Caenorhabditis elegans: one gene and its partners. The protein of the gene in region 1 purifies or fractionates together with the protein of each later gene. This does not show direct contact. Each region holds a gene or a part of one and is shown in the gene's direction. Other genes may lie near its edges. The genes, in order: ile-1, Y17G9B.8, sft-4 and acs-18.

Region 1 (4,759 bases):
TGTTTGCACAAAAAAACCGGTTCCTGTTCTGAAACCGACAATTTTTGTAAAATATAAACGGATGTGCGCCTTTGAAGATTACTGTAATTTCAAACTTTCGTTTCTGCTATAATTTCTTTCATGGTTTTTTGTAAAAAATATATCGATTAACAGAAAATAAATATTTATAAAACAATTAAAAACAAATAAATGTTAACAAATTGTGAAATAAATTCTCACAAATCGAAGAAAAGTTTGCAGCAACGAAAGTTTGAAATTACAGTACTCTTCAAAGCACACCTTTTTGTATTTTTTTTAGAAATTCGTGTCGAGACCATGCACCGCATTTTAGGCGCAAAAACGCAAGTTTTCGCGTCTGGGTGATATGGTGAAAATACAATAATTGAATTTTAGAACTTAAAAGGGTCCGGCAGTCAATCTGAACAATCAAAGAAAAATCTGAAATCCCACGAAGTTAGTACGAAGAAAATGAAAGATGCGGATAGACCCGTTTTGACAAAAAAGGAAATTCGCAATAAAAAGTAGACTTTTTCCAATATTTAGTTTAATAATTAATAATTTCAATTTACAGATTTGAAGAAAAATGTCGTCAAAAGAATTTGGATCCCGATGTTGTCCGAACCGAACGTCGTCAAAAAGATGCAGCTCGTCAACGAACAATTCAATCGTACATCGATGAAGCTCGTCCTGACTGGAAACATAAACTCGAAGTAAAACTAGTTTCTCTCGGTGGAGATGAATTTGGAACAAGAGATAACGAATCATTCGAATTGTACAAAAATTACCAGCATACTATTCACAAAGACGAAGACTGTCGACTTGCCGGTTTTCGTAGATTCCTCTGTGATTCTCCATTGAAAAAAGAGCAAAGAGGAGGGTGAGCTATTATTACCCCGAACGCGAAATTTTGCGATTTTTACGCAAAAAATACAAGGTCTCGACACGAAAAATGTTTTGTTAAGTACAAAACGGTGCCTTTAACTCAACAACAACAAAGAGCATGAATTTTAACATATCGTGAGTGAGGAAACCTATTAAAATTCGATAAAAACTCCCCAACAACGAAATTTTAAAATTTCAGTACCCTTTAAAGGCGCGCGTTTTGGGTTCAACAAATTTTGCCGTGATGAGACCTGGTACCGTATTTTTGGAGAAAAAATCACAAAATGTAGCTTTTAGGGAATTCGCCAGTTACTCTTAAAAAATGAGTTCAATTTCAGAATAGAGCTGGGCTCATTCCATCTTTGGTTTCTTCTAGATGATAAACTGATTGCTGTTTGTGTCGTTGATATTCTACCAAAATGTTTTTCGGCCAAATACATGTATTATAATCCGGAATATTCATTTTTGTCCCTGGGAACATATACAGCTTTGAGGTGGGCATATCCTTCGTTTTTTTTCAATCATAAATTGTAATTACAGAGAAATCGAGCAAACTCAACGTCTTCATGCAATTTATTCGAATCTCAAGTATTACTATATGGGATACTACATTCACTCGTGTCCAAAAATGCGCTACAAGGCTAAATTTCGCCCAAGTGATCTTCTTTGTGACCAATCGTTTCGATGGGTTGATTTTAATTCATGTCGTGATCTCCTTGATGGCTCAACTTGCTCAAATGGCTTTTCTGAGTTCTGTCCAGGAGCTCCTCGTCCAGCTTCTCCAGTTGTTGATACTCTTCTCGTGTTCTCTAACGGATCAATAACGACTTTGTCAGATGCACTCACTGAGATTCCAGAAGCTGCAGAAAACGAGCAATTTTTAGCAAATGTTAGGGATTTGGCACATCTCGTGGGTCCTGATTTGAGCAGAGTTGTCTACTATTTCAATGAACTAAACTCTTAAAAGCTTCTGTTTGTATAAAATTCTTGATTAGTACTGGACACATATTTTTTTAAATGTATTTTGCTTGTATAATTATTTGTATTCATCAGTCAAAAACTGCTTAAATAAAAATGGCAATCATGAAGTGCATATTATTTACATATCAGGCTCGAGCCTACCGGCTGCAGAGCTGAGCGCAAACCGATTTATTTTGTCAACACTTCACGAATTTCTAACAAAAAAGGTTTTAATGCAAATACCGGAAAGTCCGCAATTGTGCGTAGATTATGTTGTGTGCAGACGCAGTTCGTCGACGTGTACGGTTGGCTTATGCCGAGTTTCTCTACAGTTTTTCCTTCATTTCTCCAAAATTTTCTCACGATATTTGCATTTTCATTCGCTAAGCAAACATTTGCATTCCAGATATGACCTCATCACGGGTTCTACTCGTGCTGCTGGCCGTAATCGTTACCATTCAAGCACAAAATACTCCGGTTTTCAAGAAGTAGGTTTTTAAAGTTTAAAAACCTTGAAGTAATTTCCTCTTTAATTTACAGGTTCGAATACAAGCATTCTTTCCGTGCTCCAAATCTTGCACAACGCGATGGATCTATTCCTTTCTGGATTGTAAGAAAATAATTCTCCAATTTTTTAATCAAAAAGCGTGAGATTTAGGTTAGTGGAGATGCTATTGCTTCTGGTGAACAGCTCCGATTGGCTCCATCAATGAGAAGCAGAAAAGGTATTGCGTGGAACAAGAGAGCTTTCTTAGAAAGTGAAAACTTCCAGGTGAGTTTCTAAGAAAAATATCCAAAAAAAAAACACATTTGCAGGTAGACATCGCTCTGAAAATTGGAGGACAGGGACGTGTCGGAGCAGATGGTCTCGGAATCTGGTACACTTCTCAACTTGGAGCCCTTGGACCAGTTTTCGGAGGAAACGATTTCTGGACGGGTATGGGATTGTTCCTCGATTCGTTCGACAACGATGGCCAAAAGAACAACCCACAGGTGTCTCTTATGCTGAATGATGGAACCAGATCATATGATCATCATACCGATGGATCACAACAGATTTTGTCTAGTAAGTTTTCTAAAGAAAAATCACCAAACCAACATATTTTTCAGGTTGCCAACGAGATTTCCGTAATAAGCCATATCCAGTTCGCATTCGAATCGAATATTTGAAGAATGTACTCACAGTTCATATTGACGATGGTATGCAACCAACACCTCGTTACGAGCTTTGTATGCGTGCTGAAAACATCTTCCTTCCACGTAATGGATACTTCGGCGTTTCTGCTGCTACCGGCGGTCTTGCTGATGACCACGACGTTTTGGACTTCTCTGTATTCTCTCTTTTCAACGAGCAACAGAAACCAGTGCCAGTTGCTGAGCAGATTCCACAACAAGAGAAACAAAAATATGATGAAGAGTTCGAGAGGCAGATGAAAGAATATGAACAGGAGAGAGCCAAATTCAAGGAGCAACATCCGGATAAAGTGAAAGAAGACGACGAGTATGATCCAAATAAGTATTATGAGGATGCTACTGCTCGCGAACTTCGTTTAATTTATGAGTCTCAAAACGCTATTCATCAGGTTATGCAGAACATGGATCAGAGGCTAGCACAAATCCAGCAGGCTCAAACGTCTGGTGTCGCTGCTGCAGTACCTCACTCCGGTGGAGCAGCACCAGCTCCAGTCGCCGCTGGCGGAAGCTTCCAACAACACGAGAAAAATGAAGTTATAACGTCATTGCGAGATTTAACTCAAACGATTCGTGACATGAAACAGTATGTCAATGAAATCTTCACCAAAACGTATAACATTGATCAAAAAATTGCTGTAAGTTTTCACCTAACCCTTTTTTAGTGTTTAAATGCTTATTTTTCAGCAAGGTGGTGCTGGTGCAGGTGGAGTAGACAGCAGCATGCATCAAAAAGTTGATTCATTGCTTAATGAGCTACGAACAGTCAGAGCAACTCAAATTCAAACAAGTGGACCTGGAGCCGCTGCGAACTGCCCGAACATTTCATGCGTCTCGTCAACCATCTTCATGTTAATCATATTCATTCAATCAGCCATCATAGTTGCAGTCGTTTTTGTACGAAGCAAGCAAGACAAGGCCAAATTCTACTAATTTATTGCATTCTAACCATCATTAACTAACAATGTCTTTCCCCTTCGAACCTGTCGTCAAATGTGATGTTTTGTTCTCAATACAGCGTATTTACGACATTATCGCGACCCCACAACGAATTTTCTTATTCAAAAAATCCCCTGGTAAATAATATCATCTCACCCCTGATTGTGTTGTGTTTTAGTCAGATTTCCCCCGTTATTTTTTTCGATTTGTATGGTATTTGAATGGTGCATTCGATGGTAGTTTATTTAAATAAAAATGTATTGTTTAGAAAGGAAATCCTCGTAAATAAAGATCCAATAAAATTTGATAATGGAGTTTTCAAATGAAAAGAAGCGACTCGAATCTGGATGTGGTGCAGTTTTACAGGGAATGGCTGGTAAAAAAGTTTTTGTGGAGCTTCGCAACGATGTTTATGTGATTGGTAGGAGATTATTTTCATTTTTAATTCAAACTATACATTTCAGGAATTTTGGAAAGTTGTGATTCGAATTTGGATATCCGAATTCAATATGCCACAATCATTCGAGATGCTCAAAAAACTGAAGAACCCGAGTACCTCGTAATTGGGAAACATGTCAGGTAATTTATATATAATTATTTCAATAAATCATATTTTATTTTATTTCAGATTTGTTCATTTTGAACATCAAGTTGTTCCAATCGCAGCGATTCGAAGATGTATGAAAGGTGATCAAACAGGACGTCCTAAACAAAATCGGCGACTTGATCAGAAACAGTTCGATACTGGACGGAAGATTGTGGATCAGTGAAAAACAGTTTATATTTA
Region 2 (4,161 bases), on another chromosome or scaffold:
ATTTGATCCCCCCGTCGAAAAACCAGCGCAACTATTTCATATAGGCTCAACGAATTTTTGATCGTGAATCTTCTTCTTCTTTGCTGACACTCACAAAAACTGATGAAGTTTTTTAAAAAATGGTTTTATCGATAAATTATTATTAATCTGCCAATCACTTCAGTACATTTACTTTTTTTTTAGTTTTCTCTTTCATTTTTGCTTCAAATTTTTTATAAAATTTTAAATCAACGTTTTTCAGAATGTCAGCTCCATCTCGCACCGTCCTTCGCGATTTGACGGCGACCAGATACGTCGCCAACTACGCCGAAGAAGATCGCTTGGAAACCGCTCGAGCCGGTTGCTCTTCCCTCCCACCACAACCCAACATCAATCATGATGTAATTATCGAAGGGCACGGAGAAGATGTGGAGCTCGTCGAAGATGAGAACTACTGTTCCGTTCATCGTATCGATGAGACTCCAAAGCTCGTCGACAAGAAACCGAGCAAGACAATCATCCGCGATGAAGCTGTCAAAGTGCTCCGGCACATTCAGACTGTGCCGATTGAAAATCTTCGTCTTAAGCGCTACGACTATTTCTCGCAAAGATGGTTCCACACGACCAGAGAATCGGAGAAAGCGCTTGTCGAGCACGTGTTTCTTCATCCCAACCAACGACCACATTATTTTGCCGCTCAGTGCCGGAAGCTGTCGGTCGAGGATATCTCTAGTTTGATTCTGGTTAGTTTCTTGGCCATATTTTTGATAAAGCATAAATCTCATTTCAGACTTCTCTCCTGACCGAACCGAAGGAAACGGGACAAAATGTGGCTCGATTTGCTATCCAGACAACCAATGAAATGTCGTTCCAAACGTTATTTGCATTGCTCGAACAACTAGAGAAGGAAAACGAAAGGTTCCAAATGACAGATAGCTTTGTGGTTGCAACCCTGATCCGATCACAGACGAAGAGAGTAAGTAAATCGGTTTTATATTACACACAAATAACTTTTCATGTTTCAGACTATCACTCGTCTCCTGAGAACCACACACTGCCGGGAATACGGAAATCTCGAGCCAGGACTCGATTCACAAGGCCGGCTGATGACTTCGACTGCATCAATCACGTGTTCAATTCGAGGAAAGCGCCACGTGGAAACGAGGATCGTGTACAAGAACAACTCGAGCACCAGGGATCCTTTCCGAAGAAATAGAGTGAGTTGTATAGCAATAATTCTATCGATTTCCAATTTATAACATTTTCAGTACATCGAATTGGAGCAAACGGTGAAGTGCATGAACCGGCGAGTGCTGATTGTCGAAGAGCCAGTCGAAATCCACGAATTCGAGGTCGAAAAGGATATGATCTCGCTGGAAAACGGAATTGCGCCAGTCGACGACCTGATCTCGTTTCTCGAAACATTCGAACTGGATGAAGAGGACGAGTAACTCCATATATGTCCTATAATTAGTAGTAATGTGCATAAGTCTGTATTATTGTATATGTATTTAAATAACCGAGTGGTTCCTGTTGAATATTCCAACTAACTTCCCCTATTTTATTTTCCTTTTTTGTTTTAGTTGTTTTATGTATATAGATTCTCCAATGCCCAAATTGTGACAACCCACGACTATTTTGTTTATATTCGACATGTATATTGCCCGCATTTATTTTGATTTTTTTTCAAAGATGAATTTGTTTGAGGTATAATTTTACAATGCATTACTGCTCTGATTGATTGATTAGAATATGAATTTCAACTATTCCCGGCTTTTCACTGGTAAATTACTCCATATACGTTATTTTCCCACCGCAACAACCTGGCCTTTTCATTGCCTCATTCACAGCATACGACTTGTAATGTCTGCACTCTCCCCGTCTCATCACGTAATCAGGTCTCTCTCGATTCTTCCCGTTTAAATATATATCTGCTCTATTGCACCTCTTCATTTCCTTGTTCAGGAAAATAGCATAATTTCAAAATGCCTCGGAAGAAGAACGATGTGCAAATCACCGAGGAAATGAAGAAGAAAACCGCCGAAGAGGTTATCAAAAAGGTGAGTTTTATTTATTTATTTATTCCTAGTTTTGAAATTAATTTTCCAGCTGCCAACAGTGAAATCGAAGCAAGACGCTATCAACGAGAATCTGCAAAAACTTCAAGAATTCCGAGATAATGAGCCGAACCCCTATGGAAAGGGTAAAGTGGGTTTTTTTAAACAATTTTTATAACTAATTTTTGCGAAATCCAATCATTAAAAATTCAATATAAATACAGTAGTCTGTTTAAAGGGGCACGTGGTTGTACGGCTGGGTCTCGCCACGATTTTAAAGTTTTCTTGCAAATATCAATTAAAATCTTAACAAAAGAAATCAATGAAGACCAAGTTTTAGATAAATTTTTAAAATTTGAAGTAAAGTTTTGAATAGTTTCAACAAAATTTTCGGGGCAATTGCCTCGAAAATCTGTTCAAATTTGCAATCTGTACAAATTCGGCGATTTCTGCATGCTGTGCACAAATTCGGTTGAAATCTGGGTATATTCTGAACGGGTTTACTGAGAAGTTTCCATGGTTTTCGATGGAATTTCACATTTTGTCACCAGCACTCATCGATCTGTGGAATCACAACAATCATTCATTAGGTTCGTTTTCATCTTTAATCTCTCAAAATTAAAATAAATATTACAGAAATCTTTTGGACGAAGTAAAACGTGTTGCTGAAATGGATTATCGCTCCCAAATGGCCGGAGACATCAGTCGGAGAGATTTAATGGAACTGATCAAGGTTCGCGGCGACCTTCTTCCATTATGGACCAGCCATGACACACAATTTCCTGGAGAATATGTTGGAGCTATTGCACCACAGGATGGCTCGAAACTAGGCGACGGAGATTCAGTGGCGGCATTCAGTAAAGACGGAAACTGGATTCTTGCTGATATTGTCACATGTCACTCTAACTCGCGATATGAGTGTCGAGACGTTGATGATGACAAGAAGAAGTTGACAGTTTTCGCGAGAAGCCATTTGTTACCCCTCCCAAAATGGAAAGCGAATCCTGCATCAGACAAGCATGCACTTTTCGAGAAAAATGCGATTGTGTTGGCGTTGTATCCACAAACCACTTGCTTCTACAAAGGTACCAATTTTCACAAAAGTTTCAAAAATAAAATAATTATTTTCCAGGAATAGTTCACTCCCCGCCAGCAGATTTTCGAGAACCATATCAAGTAGCGTTCGAAGACGACAGCTATGCATCAGGATTCTGCCCTCCAATGCCGGTTGCTCAGAAATACGTGGTTGCCTTCCGAGAAGTTGCAGGGCTCACTGCATCAACTGCTCCAAAAAAGGGAAATGGCCACAAAAAGAAATGAGGCCATAATCCAATTAATTGACAGTATTTATTGTATGTAACTCCTAAAAATCCCGGAATTCCTTCTCATAAATCTCACAATGTTTTTTATTTGTCCATAAAAGTTGTTCTTATCAAAAATAAAACGTGTTATTATTGGCGGCAACATTATTCGAAAATTATACAAGAGAAATAATTCAGAGAGTGCAGAAAAAATTAGAAAGTGATCCAATGCGTGGTCTTGATTATTAAAAATTAACGTGATTTTAAAACCAGAAAAACATTTTGATTAATATATCTGCACGATCTACAATGATAAATAGTACATAGCCGTCATCCCATCATTCCTTCTCACATCATAACCACCTTTGACAGGATACTCGTCACATCCCGTCAATCCCAACGGCAAAAGAACAAAAAATTCTCTATCCACAGTCTCCTCAGCATCGAAAGCGCACTAGAGATAGCTATCTGCTAGATATTCTATACCTTCAAAGAGTGATTCGAGAAGATCTTCGTCTCACCTGAATGCAGTAAAATCGAAATTCGCAGATTCCAGTTTCCTGTCGACTCCGTGAATCCAGTGTTTCAAAAATATATTGACATCTTTGATTCTTAGATAAGCGACGAATGCGGAAGCATTTGTCACTATTTAGTACATCATTAAGATCATATTTCAATGATTGGTGTAGTACAACTATGTCCATGTTACGTGTTAAAACCATTTGCATTTGTTTAGATGCTTCTATTGAGAACGGGTTTTTGCTGCTTGTACAAATTGAATCAGTTTTACCGGAAAACTGTTTCAACACATGTTCATATAGCAA
Region 3 (4,286 bases), on another chromosome or scaffold:
ACCGAAAACTTTATGTAACATTACTTTTATCTTTTTTTGCGTTTTTTCTGTAGTCTTTCGATTATCTTCAACTTCTAATGTATTTTAAATCATAATTCATTCATAAAAATGGTTGAATTCAATGGCACCTACTTGGCAGGTGGTGATACTCGGGAGCGGTGATATACTCTCTTTCTCCTTCCTTTTCGAGAGTGTCATTTCTATTTTCAAACCACAACCACCACATCAGCTCGCGTGCGGCTGCGACGCGGTCTCTCTACATTTCGTGTGCCTCCTCTTCCTCCATTTGCCCCTTTCGGTTCAGTTCCCCTTCTTTTCTCGTCGCTTATGTTTTCGTTTTCATTTGTCCGGAGAAAACCTGTTTAGGAAAGAGTCGTTCACATAAACGCCCGTCACTTATGCCCGTTGACATCCAAACTCTTACTTTTGAACCGCTTTTTTCAACCAGTTTAAGGTTTTTTCCCTAGCTTAGTTTTTACACAACTGTAGCGGAAGTGATAAAGAATAATTTCCATTCTCTATTGTACATTACTCATTTACCCAATGACTTCGCTGTACTATTTCCGCAAGTTCAGTATCAATTCTGTGTATACGATGACGTGACGCGGTGTATTCATTGCCAGTGTATTCAGCGAAAGCTGACGTCTTTTTGTCAAACTTTAAAAACAAAATAGATAACCCAACGTTTGCTCAAAATACACTTAAAACCCAGCTTTAAAACGTGTATCATTAAAGATTTAAAAATTTTCAATTCCGTTCCAAATATCCACCATTCATCGGCGCGGCCATCTGTTGGCCAGTTTGATAAACAAAAAGTCGTGACCGCCTTGTGTGTTGACATTGTGCAGCTTTGACGGTTTTCCTCCTACCTGGAGAGATGTTATGTTTGGCGACGATTGTTCTCATTTTAATTTCCATTTTTCATATGTCATCCGATTTTTTGTGTGTGTACTTGTTGTTAAATACGTCATCCGCGGTGGCTCATTGGAAATTCAGAAAACCCAGAAAATGGGAAATTTACGTAGGCTGCTTGCGCCAACAAAGGCAATAAATGTCTTCTCTACTACTCTCGATATTTGATAGCATCTAGACTAGTTAGCTCTTCGTTCATTAAATTAATGCGCCACTGCCATAGTATTTACAACCTTTTTGATGAGAGGTTATCTCTTCTCATGTTATCTCATCTTGTCTGATTACATTTTCATTCAATCCGATCTGTCCCTCTATTATTCTCAATGAACACAAAAGATATATTAAATCGAAACAGTTGTGTGTAGTGTTTCGGAAAAGATACTATTGATCCGTTGACCTCTAATACTGGCGTCAATCGTAAGAGAGACGCAGACAGCAATACACATCTTTCGTAAAGTGCACATGCCACGTGTTCCATTTTGTAGTCATTCATTCAATCCACCATCTAATCCTTCGATTCTTCTCTTCCACTCATTCTCTTCCAGCATTTTTGTTCGTCGTCACCGCCCGTCTCGTTTTTTATCAACTTCTTATCATCTTTCCGATTTTTTTCTTAATTTACACTACACTTTTCCAAACCTATTTTTTCAGCTCTTGGAAAATGAACCAGTTCCGGGCTCCAGGTGGTCAGAACGAAATGCTGGCGAAAGCAGAAGACGCCGCTGAAGATGTACGTAATACCTCTAAACTATTATATGAACTATGAACTTTAAACTTGCGAATTTCAGTTCTTCCGCAAAACAAGGACCTACCTACCCCACATTGCTCGCCTCTGCCTCGTCTCCACATTCCTTGAAGATGGAATCCGTATGTACTTCCAATGGGATGATCAAAAACAGTTCATGCAAGAGTCTTGGTCTTGCGGTTGGTTCATCGCAACTTTGTTCGTCATCTACAACTTCTTCGGACAGTTCATCCCGGTTTTAATGATCATGCTCCGCAAGAAGGTGTTGGTCGCATGTGGAATTCTTGCCAGCATTGTCATTCTCCAAACCATCGCTTACCATATTCTCTGGGACTTGAAGTTCTTGGCCAGGTAATCATTTGTTTCCTTTGAACTCGCAATAAACGTAAAATTTCAGAAACATTGCCGTTGGTGGAGGACTTTTGCTCCTTCTTGCCGAGACACAGGAAGAGAAGGCTTCCCTGTTCGCCGGAGTTCCAACAATGGGAGACTCGAACAAGCCAAAATCGTACATGCTTCTTGCCGGACGTGTTCTTCTTATCTTCATGTTCATGTCTTTGATGCATTTTGAGATGTCCTTCATGCAAGTTTTGGAGATTGTTGTTGGATTTGCTCTCATCACTCTCGTCTCAATTGGTTACAAGACAAAGCTTTCCGCGATTGTTCTTGTCATCTGGCTCTTCGGACTTAACCTTTGGCTTAATGCTTGGTAAGTATTTGATGTGGAAACGAAACTATACAATCTGAAATTATCACAACATGATCGGGATAGCTCAGTCGGTACTGGTGGCCGCTAGCAATCATGAGGTCACTGGTTCAAGTGCTCCCTCTAGATTCTGGATTATCAGCCACAGTCCCGGGCTCAAGTGTGACTCGAACTAAAGCTCACTGGGTGTATAACTAGCCAGTGCAATTGACACCCAGATCCGCAGTGAAGAACAGATCACTCTTAATGATGTTATTCAAGTAGTGTCGGAAAATTAAAAAGTATAGAAAAATGACGTCACAACTGTATTGAAATACACAAAACTTGTATTTTAATACAGCTGTGACGTCAAAAATGTATTAAAATACATTTCGCAAAATTACTTGAATAACCACTTTAATCAAAACAAAAAAACCAATTATAACAATTTGACGCTTGATTAACCATAATTGAAACATTGATTTTTCAGGTGGACCATTCCTTCCGACCGCTTCTACAGAGACTTCATGAAGTACGATTTCTTCCAAACCATGTCCGTCATTGGAGGACTTCTCCTTGTCATTGCCTACGGACCAGGAGGAGTGTCAGTCGATGACTACAAGAAAAGATGGTAGATACCCCATTAACACCAGTACTTATACGCATTTCTATGTCAAATCATTGCATTACACTCACTCACCCCGATAAATTTACCTGGATTGTTTATATAATTTATGAATCTGTTTCGATTTTTTCGATATTTCCTTTAATCAATATATTTAGAGTAGAACGTTTTCCCTCGGTTTCCCATCCAATGCTTCTTGTCGTAATGTTACAACTTCATATCTATTTCCTTTTATTTTTTTTTGTCATTTTCTTCCTTTCCCTAAAACTTCATGGACTATATGGGTTGTTTTCCAATGAAACTCTCCCTACAAACTTCTATTTTTCTCACACGAATCACAACTAAAACAGTCATTTTTCCACCACTTTCCTTTACTTTCTAATCGGCCTATCCCAATTTTCTTCTGGTAGTTTTGTTCCCGTAAAGAATAAACATTTTTCTGTCAGACAATCATTTTATTTGTTAAAGTTTTCTAATCACCCGAACAGTGAAAATAATTTAGCTGCTTGAAAAAGAAGACCCATTGGTAATACAATCAAAATAGAATTAACATGAGACGAAGAAACCGTATATCAAAAACCAGAAAGTGCTTGTAAGATGAAAAAGGCAGTCATCAAAATGATGCACATAGTTTCAAAGTAAATAAGTAGTAGAAATAAGAAAATTTTCGAATTTAGAACAAAACGGGAAAATTTTTTCACGCATCATTGAAATGTTCAGCCACATAAGACGTCCGTTTCACGGGTTGACGTGGATTGACAAGTGGCTTTCCATGTTTATCCAAGAATTTCTCGAGCACCAAGCCTCCGCTGTTACTCTCCACTTCATCTTCCGATATTCGACATTCGGCAATGATTTTGTCAATCACGTTGTCTGCATCGAATCTGAAAATGATTGAAAAATTAGGAAAAGAAATGCTCAGAATCAATATTTGACCAATTTTCAATTATTTTTATGGGACTCAATTCAAACATGAAACAGTAGAGTAGAGGAATTTGGGTCATTTCACTAATCTTCTTAACATGAATCAAAAAGGTCAAACTCGCCATGACTCTTTTTTTTTAATGTTTCAAAAAAGTTTCACCTTACCTGGAGTGTTGAATTTTTTGAGCAGATCGATCTTGACTAAATCGTCGTAGTTGGCAGGTTGGATGTTGTGGTGGATGTATTACTCGTCGTTCGACAACTGGTTCGTCGACTTGCGAGTTGCTAGCGGCGGATGAACTTTCTGAATAATTTTGGTCAAATTTTCACAAAAAAAGGAATTTGAACAAAACAGTTGTATTGTTTTATCATTCAACACGTAAATAAATTATAAT
Region 4 (5,511 bases), on another chromosome or scaffold:
GATGACGGAGTATCACCATCCCCAGTTCCAGTCAGCACTCCACCAGTGCCTTCAACTATTCCAAGTCCATCCAAAGTTGTTCCAAATCCACCACAAAAGTCGCTAATTACTCCAACTGTTCCACCTTCGATGATCCAGACTGTAAATCCTCCAACAGTGTCTGCTCTCCCATCTCCATCTGTTTCTCCTGCTCCAGTGCCAACAACCTCATGTGCTCCTCAGAAACCGTTGGTCGTTCAACCTCCAGTCCCGTTTGCTCCGAATCTGGCAGCCCAGACAGGAATGAAAGTATGTTTATTAGGAAAATGATTACAATGTCTAGAAATTATTTCAGCAGCGCCCACCATCCAACAACAATGTGGAAAAAAGTCTCTACTATTAAAAAGGAAAATGGACATTTAAATGAACTTTTTAAATAAGTATTTGCTGTGAATCAAACTTGGATGATTAATATTTTGTTCCTCTTTAGCTATTTTTCCTAGGCATGTAAAGTGTGCAGTAAAGGAATGGATACGCTTCACTAACAATAATTGGCCAAGCATTACTACACTGGACACACTTAGAAAGTTATTTCTCAATTTTTCATTTGATCTTGATAATTTCAAACTTGCTCGAAGTATGAGGAGAGCGATACACTTTTACCGGCTGCATGAAGAGGGATATAGCTTCCCAATTGTTGAATATCATTTTGAAATTTTTTCTATATTATACTATTCAAAACTGGAATCAAAATCGGTAAACAAACTTTTTGTAAGTTTTATACAAGCGATTAACAAAATATTGCAAACATGATGATGAAAAACTAGCTCAGTGTACAAAGTACAGTTTGAATAGATACATTTCCAGATAACATAAAAATTCTATCCAATCGTATTTTTGATTTGGCGAGCCACTGAAATTAGAAGTATAGCCATTAACGTAAACTTGTAAAAAATCTCCAGCAACTGTATTGATTGCACTCTTGAAATGACCTGCTGCCGTCCCAATCAAATCTCTTTTGTGGCGAACGATGGGGTTTTCAGACAGCTTTCCTTCTGGAAATAATATTTGATTTTCTATCATTTGAAATCAATAACCGTTACTAAAAGTATGTGTTATCTCTCTTTTACGTTTTCCAATTACATCCTCTGCCTGATAGAGCAATCCTTCGGCTTCACCAACAATATTATCAGCAATTCCAGCAACGGCTCCAAACAAGTCACGACGTTTTCTTGCAGGAAAAGAGTGAATTGATGGTGCAACCATTAGAACAATTATGATAGATATAAACTTCATTTTCAGTTTATTTTGAATTATAACATTGCTCTGAAGCTCGTTTTATATTGATGAAGTGCGTATAATCACAAGAAAAGTTCACATCAATACAGGAAGTCGAATTGTTTTTCCCTGATTATGATAATCATGTATACGAAACATTAGAAACTACAAATATTTGTGTACTTTACTGATAGAAAATTAAATTTATTTCGGTCTGTTGTTTGAAATTTGGCATGGTAGGCACTTTTACAGGCGTTCATTTCTTCTTGAAATTTTTGTGATGTAAAAAACTTTGACGAGTTCTTTTAAAAAAAAGGCAAAAAGCAGGATTAGTTTGAAAAATGTTGAAAGTTTGAAAAAGATAAAAAAGTTCTTAAAGATTTAAATTAACTTTAAGCGTGACACAGTGACATCTTCTACGCGGTTTTATCTTCAACTCACTGACAGTCAGTTTTCAAATTATTTCGTCTTAATTCTCGTGTGAACAAATATCTTACAAGTGACTCGCTGTCAGCTTACAATGTCCTATCGAGGATTAAATTTGATTACCCGACAAGTGATTTCACGCTTGACATTTCGATATTCTGGTCTTTTTACTAGGATTACTGTAAGTTGTGAAATTAAATTTCTATGGCGTCTCATAGAAATTGTGCGCGCGTCCTATAACTACCATCATATTCCGTGTTTCAGTACCCGATTTCCGTTCAAGATCGTGGATTCTTCTTTGGAAAACGTCGTGTACCAAGATGTGATCTAAAAAACCAATCGATTATTCAAGAAGATGGAGGTAGAAAGGCTGCGTGGCTTGGAGACGGTCCTCTACAACACGGATGGTTTGAAGGCGTTTTGACAACATATTCAGGGGTTTAATATTAATCAGATGTTTCAATAGACCAACGTTTACTTTAGATCCGTCGTGGACCAACTGTCGGTGGAAAAGAAATGTTGGGGAAAAGAGTGATGAAAGATGGAAAATTGGAATGGGAATGGATTTCATATGATCAAGCATTCGAAACATCTGATCATGCTTCACAAGCTATCAGAAAGTTGGGAATTGAAATTGGGGAAGAATCAAAAATTGGTATCTACTCGAATAATCGTCCAGAGGTAAAATAATAATTTTCAATCATGACAATCAATTGTTTCTGAATATTCAGTGGATTCTCTCAGAAATGGCAATACATAACTTCAGCAACGTTTCTGTTCCACTTTACGACACTATTACTAACGATGATATGCATTATATTACTAACCTTTGCGAAATTTCTTTGATGTTCGTTGACGCCGAAATAAAAACTAAACGTAAGTTTTTTTTTCTGAAAAAAAAGTGATCTACCTTTGTAAATTTCAGAACTCATTCGCGATAAGTCCTATTTATCAAGCTTGAAGTATATCGTTCAATTTAACGAGTGCTCAGATGACATTAAAGAAATGGCACGGGAAAATGATTTCCGTCTTTGGAGTTTCAATGAGTTTGTAGAAATGGGAAAGAAACAAAAGCATCGTCCACATGTTCCACCAACACCAGAAACATTGGCAACAATTTCATTCACTTCTGGAACAACTGGACGTCCGAAAGGTGTTATGCTGACTCATTTGAATATGTGCTCCGCCACAATGTCATGTGAAGAGTTTGAAAATGAAGCTGGAGTTCAAGATGCTTATCTGTCTTATCTTCCTCTTGCTCATATCTACGAAAGACTCTGCCTACTCTCTAACTTCATGATTGGATCGTAAGAAATTCAACTTCAATAATAATTTCCCGGTTTCAATTAACTTCAGGCGAATCGGATTTTCTCGTGGTGATCCCAAGCTTCTAGTAGATGACGTTCAGGCTCTGGCTCCTCGGTCATTTGCTACTGTTCCACGTGTTATTGATAAAATCCATAAGGCAGTCATGAAGCAAGTTCAGGATAAACCACTCAAGAAAATGATTTTGAATGCGGCAATAGCCTATAAACTATACCATTATAAGATGACGTAGGTTCCGATGGAACAGTTGAAAACACTTTTTAATCATTTTTTAGAGGCAAAGCTACTCGTAAAACATGGGTAGATAAGTATGTTTTGCATAAAATCCAGATGCTTCTCGGTCCTAACATCAGACAATTGATTCTTGGAGCTGCAAAATCAGACGTTTCCGCAATGAGGTTTGCTCGTGGGGCTTTTGGAGTTGAGGTTCTGGAAGGATACGGACAAACTGAAACATCTGGACCAACAACACTTCAATTGGTTGGAGATACACGTATTGGATGTGTTGGACCACCGATGGCTTGTGCGATGATAAAATTAATTGATGTTCCTGAACTTGGATATTCTGTTGATAAAAATGGTGGAGAAGTACTTGTGAAGGGTCATAACGTCACTTCAGGATATTACAAGAATCCAGAAGCAACTGCATCATCTTTCACTGAAGATGGATACATGAAAACTGGAGATATTGGAAGATTCACTGCTGAAGGATCTCTTCAAATTATTGATCGACGCAAAAACGTTTTCAAAATGCCACAAGGAAAGTTTGTGGCTCCAGATCTCACAGAATCCCTCTACACTTCTTCGAGTTTTGTCCAACAGATTTACGTTCATGGCGATATGGAAAAACCGTGGCTTGTAGCAATCGTTGTCCCAGATCCAGAGGTAATAATAATAATTTTATACTGTTTCAGAGAATTTCATATATGTGAAGTTCGATTCTTCTGTGTTTCTTTTATCGCTGATAATGATTGCGAAATGAATATTGACACTGGAGACTCAAAGCCGTTGATAGAGAATGAGATAGAGAATGACAAAAATGTCAACACTAGAATGAAACCGATTTTCGTCCGGTTCCATGGTGTAGCGGTTAGCACTCAGGACTTTGAATCCTGCGACCCGAGTTCAAATCTCGGTGGAACCTATCGTTTTTGTTATTATTTCTTCTAAAAACTTTTTTTTTCAGTATCTTGCTTCATATGCGCTAACCAAACACAACATCAATGGGAAAACCTATGAACAATTGTGCAACATTCCGATTCTCGCAGATGATGTGCTGCGACAATTTGTAGAACTCACAGAAGAAGATAAAAGGCCAAGATATGAAGGGGTACTGTTTAGGAATTTAGGAATTTCATGTTTATCACTGTTTAGGAATTTCATGTCAATAAATATTTAGTTTTTAACTTTAGGTGTACGGCGTTCACTTGACGCCAGTTGCTTTTTCGGCTGAAAATGGGTTGACAACACCTACATTGAAGAATAAGAGAAATGCTATCGCACAGTTTTTCAAAGCGGAAATTGATGGAATGTATAAGAAGATTGAGACTAGTGAACTTTCGAATTTGGCAAAATGAACAATAATGAAATTTCTGGAGAACTTAAAAAAGGCTTCTCCCAACGATCTGAGAAATTAGTTAAAGGTAACATGGAGATTGCAAAATACCATGTATTGAAGGCCGAGTAGCTTGAAAAAAATTGTTAAATGACCAAGCTTGACAACATTCGCGAATATGACATTTCCTACTCTACATGTTTTTGTTTTCAGATGTTCTTTTTTTCGAAGAGATTATAGTTTTCAAAGAGTTTTAACTCCACACAGACATCATCAGAGAAGAACAAATAAATCTAGTGAATTTCCCAAGTCGGTTTTTGTGAAAGATGGGAATCTTACTGTTCTCCCATATATTTTTTAAATAAAAGCAATGACAGGGTGTGTCTAGGCATATTTCGTTCAAAATATGAATCTCATTTTTCCTCTCTTCTTCTTCGCCCTTTTGGTAAGTATATAATGTTTAGAGTTTCTGTGTATGCCTTCATTTACAGGTTGGATCAAACGCCCAATTTCAACAATTTTGCAATTACTGTGGATTCATTGAAGTTCCAAAGACTTGGCCAGTAGCTCAAGATTCTCTGAGAAGTGCATGTGAAACACTTGGAATGGCAACAACAGCGTGCAAGGGAATTATTAATTCAGCTGACTTGAATTCATCATACGGTAAAATGTACCCGTATATTATTTAATTGAAGGATCTTGCATGCAGCAAATATTGTAAAGATCGTCGTATTCGTTATTAAATTACGAGAATAAATGTTACAGTCGTCTTGAACTATTGAAAGTTTAATGAGTTGTAATATCTGACACTATTCAAATTTTGATACATATGCTAAAATCTATGGGAGAAAAAATGGCGATGGCTCCCATAAGCCTGAACCCTAAACGACACACAGATATTACAGACGCAACTTAGTTGGGAGTATATTTGTGCTTAAGATGATCAC

Evidence for each region.
Region 2: the proteins of ile-1 (region 1) and Y17G9B.8 fractionate together in Caenorhabditis elegans (co-fractionation; one large-scale study listed by BioGRID). This does not show direct contact.
Region 3: the proteins of ile-1 (region 1) and sft-4 fractionate together in Caenorhabditis elegans (co-fractionation; one large-scale study listed by BioGRID). This does not show direct contact.
Region 4: the proteins of ile-1 (region 1) and acs-18 fractionate together in Caenorhabditis elegans (co-fractionation; one large-scale study listed by BioGRID). This does not show direct contact.

What each region holds. Positions count from the first base shown.
Region 1 is NC_003279.8:9,609,024-9,613,782, reverse strand, and holds ile-1 (L-type lectin-like domain-containing protein), read left to right. Parts: upstream 1-2,248; 5' UTR 2,249-2,250; coding exon 2,251-2,330; intron 2,331-2,382; coding exon 2,383-2,452; intron 2,453-2,500; coding exon 2,501-2,614; intron 2,615-2,658; coding exon 2,659-2,908; intron 2,909-2,952; coding exon 2,953-3,671; intron 3,672-3,720; coding exon 3,721-3,966; 3' UTR 3,967-4,239; downstream 4,240-4,759. Other genes in the region: ate-1 (Arginyl-tRNA--protein transferase 1), read left to right, coding at 394-521, 572-877, 1,221-1,376, 1,423-1,846; K07A1.15 (Sm domain-containing protein), read left to right, coding at 4,282-4,393, 4,437-4,551, 4,601-4,742.
Region 2 is NC_003282.8:4,756,509-4,760,669, reverse strand, and holds Y17G9B.8 (SGF29 C-terminal domain-containing protein), read left to right. Parts: upstream 1-1,829; 5' UTR 1,830-2,039; intron 2,040-2,088; 5' UTR 2,089-2,552; coding exon 2,553-2,626; intron 2,627-2,672; coding exon 2,673-3,121; intron 3,122-3,168; coding exon 3,169-3,356; 3' UTR 3,357-3,493; downstream 3,494-4,161. Other genes in the region: memi-1 (MEiosis-to-MItosis transition associated), read left to right, coding at 243-722, 770-955, 1,005-1,196, 1,248-1,430; Y17G9B.11 (PID domain-containing protein), read right to left, coding at 3,728-3,808, 3,859-4,065.
Region 3 is NC_003284.9:5,778,000-5,782,285, reverse strand, and holds sft-4 (Surfeit locus protein 4 homolog), read left to right. Parts: upstream 1-1,563; 5' UTR 1,564-1,573; coding exon 1,574-1,642; intron 1,643-1,700; coding exon 1,701-2,008; intron 2,009-2,054; coding exon 2,055-2,366; intron 2,367-2,832; coding exon 2,833-2,977; 3' UTR 2,978-3,411; downstream 3,412-4,286. Other genes in the region: sym-3 (C2 NT-type domain-containing protein), read right to left, coding at 3,665-3,851, 4,057-4,195. UniProt on the Caenorhabditis elegans protein: Endoplasmic reticulum cargo receptor that mediates the export of the yolk proteins from intestinal cells by recruiting cargos into COPII vesicles to facilitate their secretion.
Region 4 is NC_003282.8:10,309,873-10,315,383, reverse strand, and holds acs-18 (Long-chain-fatty-acid--CoA ligase), read left to right. Parts: upstream 1-1,718; 5' UTR 1,719-1,777; coding exon 1,778-1,864; intron 1,865-1,947; coding exon 1,948-2,121; intron 2,122-2,166; coding exon 2,167-2,364; intron 2,365-2,414; coding exon 2,415-2,559; intron 2,560-2,608; coding exon 2,609-2,990; intron 2,991-3,039; coding exon 3,040-3,237; intron 3,238-3,284; coding exon 3,285-3,894; intron 3,895-3,959; exon of another isoform or gene 3,960-3,980; intron 3,981-4,074; exon of another isoform or gene 4,075-4,165; intron 4,166-4,195; coding exon 4,196-4,339; intron 4,340-4,421; coding exon 4,422-4,586; 3' UTR 4,587-4,636; downstream 4,637-5,511. Other genes in the region: R09E10.8 (Saposin B-type domain-containing protein), read left to right, coding at 4,971-5,009, 5,056-5,253.